2 linked regions of the Cricetulus griseus genome follow. The protein of the gene in region 1 purifies or fractionates together with the protein of each later gene. This does not show direct contact. Links are inferred from orthologs where the notes say so. Each region holds a gene or a part of one and is shown on either strand. Other genes may lie near its edges.

What was found.
Region 2: the proteins of Smurf1 (region 1) and Stk38 purify together in Homo sapiens (affinity purification with western blotting; 3 studies listed by BioGRID, with this or other methods). This does not show direct contact. The link is inferred for Cricetulus griseus from reciprocal best matches to the Homo sapiens genes SMURF1 and STK38.

What each region holds. Positions count from the first base shown.
Region 1 is NC_048597.1:81,292,610-81,296,261, forward strand, and holds part of Smurf1 (E3 ubiquitin-protein ligase SMURF1), read right to left. Parts: intron 2,764-3,652; coding exon 2,649-2,763; intron 1,545-2,648; coding exon 1,366-1,544; intron 527-1,365; coding exon 389-526; intron 1-388. UniProt on the Homo sapiens protein: E3 ubiquitin-protein ligase that acts as a negative regulator of BMP signaling pathway. Mediates ubiquitination and degradation of SMAD1 and SMAD5, 2 receptor-regulated SMADs specific for the BMP pathway.
Region 2 is NW_023276806.1:257,506,090-257,509,741, forward strand, and holds part of Stk38 (serine/threonine-protein kinase 38), read right to left. Parts: intron 1,053-3,652; exon of another isoform or gene 1,051-1,052; 5' UTR 1,049-1,050; coding exon 918-1,048; intron 1-917. UniProt on the Homo sapiens protein: Serine/threonine-protein kinase that acts as a negative regulator of MAP3K1/2 signaling. Converts MAP3K2 from its phosphorylated form to its non-phosphorylated form and inhibits autophosphorylation of MAP3K2.

The DNA.
Region 1 (3,652 bases):
CAAGTGCTGGAATTACAGGTCTGTACCATACATACCATGCTACACCTGGCCTTTCTAACAAACTATGAATGAACCAGTTCTGGCATTCTGGTTTTCTAATATAAAGGCAAGAAGGCTTAGTGAGACTTGCCAGAACTGCTGAGATTTCAAAGAGGATCAAGGCCCATGTGACAGTGTGGCACAATTAGCAACGCACATAACTCTCCCTCAGGTTGGAATTGGGATGCCGGAATGGACTCCTTGGGGACACACTGGCAGCCACTGCTGGCCCTGGCTTGCCACTTCTACATCGGAGCTGAGCTGTCGCATGGAGTCTCCTGCTATGGATGCCCCTGACTGCACCTTCCACTCACTCCCAGCCACCACTGAAGCCAGCCCTGAAAATTACCGGACATATTCCTTCTTGTTTTCCTCAGTGACAGGCACATTTCTGCCATTGGGTTTCAGTTCGTGCTGAAGGATCCGCCCAAAAGCATTGTGCTCCACACAGAAGGTATGGTCCAGCACTGGTGTGATGTCATTCTCTCTGTGGACATAGGCAAAAGCTGGTTAGGCCCATGCCAGAGAGTTCTAGGGGGCCGTGCTGAACACTGGCAGACACAACTCATGTTCTGTCCCTGGCTTTATGATTCTCATTCATGGGGTGGGGGTGGGGGTGGGGGGGTCACTCTCACCCTGTGACACCTTGGGACATGAGGCCCTGTGAAGAGATGGCAGAGTCGAAAGGACTAAGGCATGAAAATAAGGCTCCTCTCTCCTCAGGGCAGCCTTTCAAAGGCACCTATCCTACAAAAAAGCACTTGAAATGTCAGACTTACTTTTTATCTGCCCTACCTCTTGACAACCAGAAGGGCAGATTCCCCACAGAAAACCCCCACCCCCAAGCCCTGCATGGCAGAGCATGCAAAGCCAAGGAAGAAGGTCCCAGGCCAGACACCACACAACAGCTTCCCTGGCCTGTCTAGGCTGGGTCTTCCACAGGGACAACCAAGCCACAGTTCATCCTGGTTAACTCTAAAGCAAAGGTAAACACTCATTTTGTCTTGATACTTTTCTTGCCTTCTACAGATCACCTGAGAAACTGGAGGTGCTTGCTCCCTCTCCCACCCACCCACCCCCACACACATCAAAAAGGTTACTGGCATTTGTAATCAAACCTAAAAAAAAAAAAAAAAAAAAAAAAAGCTTGTGAAAAGAAACTTGCTAAGCATTATTAAGAATATAAGTCAGTTGTTAATTTGTAACGCAATGCAATGGTTGTTGTTATAGTTTTGTTACTTTCACCTAGTTTCACACCTATTCCCCCAAAGCCTGTGCACACACAACAGACACACCATGAGCTGAGGACAGGATGGTGACACTTACAGAATCCACACCAAACTCTTGTGCAGTTCTGGGTCCACTGACTCCAGATCCGACAGCTGGATGGGTTTTCCCAGGAGCTGCTTGTAGAATGGGACTGTGAAGCCCCCATTTATGTAGTGCCCATGGAACACAGCCAGACCCATGATGCGACCCACAAAGTGGAAGTAAGACAGATGGTCCTGTAGGGGGCACCAGAGAACAGCAAGTTATTAGAAGATGACCTGCCAGCATGGGCGCAGGCTTCCAGGGACTCTGGAAGTAACAGGGCTTATCCTCAGCTTCCACCTCCACCTGTGGCCAGGCAGGATCCGCTGCAGGTTTAAGGACATTTCTGTATGTGTACATGTGGGTGTGTGCATATCAAAGTCCAAGGTCACCTTCATTCCTCAAGTGCTGCCCACTGATTTTGAGCCAGGATCTCTCGTTGAACTTGGATCTGACCTATCAGGCTGGCCAGCCAGCAAGTTCCAGGGATCGCATCCACCTTCCCACTGCATGCACTTCCATACCTAACTTTTGGGGGAGGGGGTTGTTTGGTCTTGTAAGACACAGGGTCTCTTTACATAGCCTTGGCTGTTCTAGATCTTGCTCTATAGACCAGGCTGATCTTGAACTCACAGAGATCCACCTGCCTCTGCCTCCCGAGTGCTGGAATTAAAGGTGTGCGCCACCACCCCCAGCCACAATTGGCTTCCTGGTAGGTTCTGCAGTCTAAATGGGTCTTTAGCTTGTGTGGATGAGCCATCTTCCCAGCCACAGGTTTATTTGTATTGGAATTCTCTAGTAGACTGAGTCCCTAATCCCAATTCTGTGGCCTTGTGACACTGTAGGATATGGTCCTACAGAGGTCCGCCATGGTCTTAAACCAATCCACGGATGCATCTCTCATACCTACCACGTGCTGAGTGTTCACATTTGTAGCCTAAAGAGCTAATTATGGAACTTTTCCAATTTTCATCAGAGTATGACTTAGTAACCTAGATCTTAAAGTGACATCAAAACAAAAAAACCCCACAAGATCCATCACCAAACCAAGGCAGAGTCGTTCCCCCCTCCCCTCAGAGGGCAGAGCAGCTCAGAGACACAGCCCTTCCTACATACAGCAGGCACCTGTTGTAAGCCTGGCTAAAATCCAGGTTGGAGCCAGGTTCTGCAAGTCGGTGCTCTCACCCCTGCCCTGAGCTCTCATCAGCATCATCTCTAAGTTACCAAGTACTGGTGGAAACCAGATTTGCCTCAAAAACTCCAGCTAGATTCCTAAAGTCTTCATTGGGAACACTCACAGGGTTGACAGAAGAATCTGGGTTGATTTGCAGAGTGTAAATATTGTCCGTGGAATACTGGAAGAGTCCATAATACGGATTCAACATTTCATGGCACAACAAATACAGCCACTCCCTGGGAACAAAACAACACAGCTCACATGTGTGTTTCCTTTCAGCTAACAGTATTGTTTTCCAGATTTTTTTTAAGGTATTTTTAAATGTATGCCACATGCATATATTTAAGTGCCCAAGGAAGCCAAAAGAGGGCATCAGATCCCCTGGTGCTGGTTACATGAGGTTGTGAACTGCCATGTGGACGCTGGGAACTAAGGTCAGGTCCTCTGCAGGAACAGGAAGGCGCTCCTAACTGCTATAGTAAAGGGTTTGGGAAGCAGAGACTTCATGCACAACTTTTAATTTCCTGCTCAATTCTTCCTTTAGACCATAAGCACAGACCACCTTCCTTCTCCCCGCCCCCCCAGACAGGGTTTCTCTGTGGCTTTGGAGGTTGTCCTGGAACTAGCTCTTGTAGACCAGGCTGGTCTCGAACTCATAGAGATCCACCTGCCTCTGCCTCTGCCTCCCGAGTACTGGGATTAAAGGCGTGCACCACCACCGCCCGGCTAACACCTTCCTTTTTAACGTTTTATTCGTGTGCACATGTATGTGTCCATGTGAAGGGCAGAGATTGACCTCAGATGTCTTCCTCAGTTGCTCTCCAGCTTATTTTTTGAGCCAGGGAGCCCAGGGATCCTCCTGTCTCCAACGCCCCAGCTCCCCAGGCACATGTCACTGTGCTGGGCTTTTACATGGGTTTCAAGGCTTGAGCTCAGGACCTTCTGCTTTCAGGGCAAGCACTTTGCAGGTGGAACCATATCCACAGCCTAGTCATCCCTAGTCATGTAATGTAAAAAACTGGATGAATCTAAAAACATCAGAGTTTTAGAATTCTGGTGGGATTTCTCAACCGATGCATTGGTTAACTTATTTTCTAAATTCCTTTAATGCTTGGATCACTTTAC
Region 2 (3,652 bases), on another chromosome or scaffold:
CTCAGGTTTCTCCTGTTTCACTTGTATACAAGAGGCAACTCCCAAATGAGTTTTAGTTTTACTCTTTCTTTTATCTCCACAGTTTCCACATATCGCCCCATGCAGAAGTCTTGTCTGAAGTGAAACCATAGCACACGCCTATAACAGCAGCACTTGGGAAGCTGAGACTGGATTGGCAAAGGGCCAGGCAAGGCTACATGTTTGACCATATCAAAAAATAAAGTAAGCTGGGCATTGGTGGCGCACACCTTTAATCCCAGCACTCAGGAGGCAGAGGCAGACAGATGTCTGTAAGTTCGAAGCCAGCCTGGTCTACAGAGTAAGTTCCAGGACAGTCAGGGCTACCTAGTGAGACCTAATGGTTTTTGGGTGTTTTTTAAATGAAACAGCTCTCACATCATCATTGGCTTAGTCTTTAGAATGGCAGGAGCTCACATGTTACAGCAATCCTTCAAGACAGCATCATCCCCACCTTCCTGGTGAGGGAGCTGACAAGCAGAGACCTTCAAGAACTAGCTCTAGATCCAGCCTCACACAGTGGCTAGTCAAGACTCAGGGTTCAAACACCCAAGGAGCAACCTGACTAGATCACCCTGCTTTAATGATGAATGCAAGTGATATGACCCTATTTCTTTTTATAATGCAACAGAACTGAGTCAGTGACCAGTAGATATGGCTGTAATAGAAAGGATCTGGCAATCTGCCACACTGGCACTCACTATAACATATAACTATAACATAGCTGCTGCCACCCTGCTCTCCTTTTGTGTACAGCACATGCTACAACACGTAACCACAGCACGCTTTTCATTCTTGTCTCTGTTTTGTTTTTTGCCTTGTATATGATACGTAGGCACTCTACCACTGAGCAAACTCCCCAGCCCCAAAATATAATGTTTTCAAGCAGAATTCTTTACCTCATTTCTCGTTCTTCATGCTGAGCAATAAGGTTGCTGTAGAAATTCTCCAGTGTCACTTTGGTCATTGTCACCCTTTCTTTCGTATGATTGCTCATGGATGAGCAAGGTGTTGACCCTGTCATTGCCATGGCTCTTAGAAGGAAAGAGAGGTATTACTATCCATCTTCCGGTTGGAACCCAACAATGAGCCCTCCCCCAACCCCTGGTAGAAACATAAACTGGTAGAGCCTTTCTGGAGGACAAATGAGTTAATATCTGATACAACAGAGACCCACCTGGGAAGGGACTCTCAATGACTGTGTAAGTTAGGGTGGCCTGAGAATATGTCTGTGGGGAATTCTCTTGATGGAGCGGATGTGGCACCAACTACCCACTGTGAGTGGCACCAGACAGCTGGACACTTGGCTTAGCAGTTAAGAGAACTTGTCCTTGCAGAGGACTGGAGTTCAGTTGCCAGCACTCTGACACCCACCCTCTTCAGGTCTACAGCTGGGGTATACACACACATGCCCACTCCACATACAAACACATAACCCAGAAAGGAAGCCGAGCACTAGCAGACAGCATTCATTCACTGTTCTCGATCTGGCCTCCACTGTGGTGAGCTGCTCCAAGAGCTGTTTCCTTGACCTCCACAGTGATGGAGTATAACCCAAAACTGAGTTGGTTTTTTTTTGTTGTTGTTTGTTTTTGTTTTTTTGTTTTTCGAGACAGGGTTTCACAGGGTTTCTCTGTGGCTTTGGAGGCTGTCCTGGAACTAGCTCTTGTAGACCAGGCTGGTCTCGAACTCACAGAGGTCTGCCTGCCTCTGCCTCCCGTGTGCTGGGATTAAAGGCGTGTGCTACCAATGCCCGGCTCCCTCAAGTTGGTTTTGTCAGGGTATTTTATCACAGAAACAGGAAACAAAACTACGGCACAAGGTATGGTGTCATATAATTCTAGGTCTCAGGAGGCATGGCAAGACACCCCGTCCTAAGTTAGCTGATAAAGACCATGGAGAATAAAGGGTTTACTTGGCTTACACAGCCCAGGTCACAATCCACTGACTGAAGCCACAGCAAGAACTCAGGCAAGACCTACAGTAGAAGCCATGAATAAGTGCTGCTTCCTGGTTTGCTCTCTATGGCTTAGTTAGCTGCTTTCTTTCTTTCTTTTATATTATTATTATTATTATTATTATTATTATTATTATTTGGTTTGGTTTTTCGAGACAGGGTTTCTTTGTGTAGCTTTAGAGCCTGTCCTGGAACTCTCTGCCTGTGCCTCCCAAGTGCTGGGATTAAAGGTGTGTGCCACCACTCGGCAAAACTTTTTTCTTTTTTCTTTTTCTTTTTGGTTTTTCAAGACAGATGGTTTCTCTGTGTAACTCTGGTTGTCCTGGAATAGTCTGGCCTTGAGCTCAGAGATCTACCTGCTTCTGCCTCCTGAGTGCTGGGGATTAAAGGCGTGTGCCAGTCACTACCACCTGACAATGAATGTCTTTTTAATGACAAAAGAAAACTAGAAATACCATTAATAAATATGTAATAGAACTAACTGAAAGTATGAAAACCCCAGGCTGGATGGTGGTGGTACAAACCTTTAATCCCAGCACTCGAGAGACAGAGGCAGGCTGATTTCTGAGTTTGAGGCCAGCCGCCTGGTTTATAGAGTGAGTCCCAGGCTACAAAGAGAAATCCTGTCCCAAAAAACAACAAAAAGTTGGGCAATGGTGGCACACGCCTTTGGTCCCAGCACTCAGGAGGTAGAGGCAGGCGGATGTCTGTGAGTTCGAGACCAGCCTGGTCTACAAGAGCTAGTTCCAGGACAATCTCCAAAGCAATACAGAGAAGCCCTGTCTCAAAAACCAACCAACAAACAAAAAACAAACAGCAAAAAAGAAAGTATAAAAAATCCCAGCAAAAATAATTCAGTTACTTAAAGTAAGGGAAGTGAGACATAGTAGCATAGGCCTGCTATCCTGGGAGGTGAATGTAGGAAGCACAGGAGCGCAAAGTCATCTTCGGCTTCTATAATGAGTTTGTGGCCAGCCTGGTCTATCCAAAAAACAGAGTGTCGGTGTTATTAGTTTTCTAACTATAGGAAAATGAGAATATAATTTTAATCTAGAATGTATTTTTCTGTAATTTATCAGTAGCTTTGAGATTTTCAATTTCTACAATTAAAAGAATCTCGTGGTGGTGCACACCTTTAGTCCCAGCACTTGGAAGGCAGAGTCAGTTGGATTTCTGTGAGTTCGAGGCACAGCATGGTCTACAAAGCGAGCTATAGAACTGCTAGGGCTACACAAAGAAAACCTGTCTCAAAGGGAGAGAGAAAAAAAAAACCCTCTGGTTTATGAAACTTGGGTGTGGTTTCTTATTTGTCAGCTCGTAACCCTCCACCCACAATGAAAACCACATGCCCTCAAAGTGTATTTGGAAAGAATACTTAAAATCAGACATTAAAAAAAAACAAACCAACAGGGCAGTAAAATGGCATCAGGTAAAGTCTTGCCACCAAGCATGAAATGAAGATAGGCATTGAATGCCTGGGACCCATATGGTGGTTGGAGAGAACCAAGTCCCACAAGCTGTCCTCTGACCCCCACACACTTGCCATAAGGAAGCCACCTCAAGCCTCTATCACCCCACACTAAGAACACGCAAAATAAATAAAATTCTAAAATAAGGTAAGTGAGAGTTGTCTACAATTTTCTGGAGAGTCTACAGAGACAGTTACTCTCTCTCTCT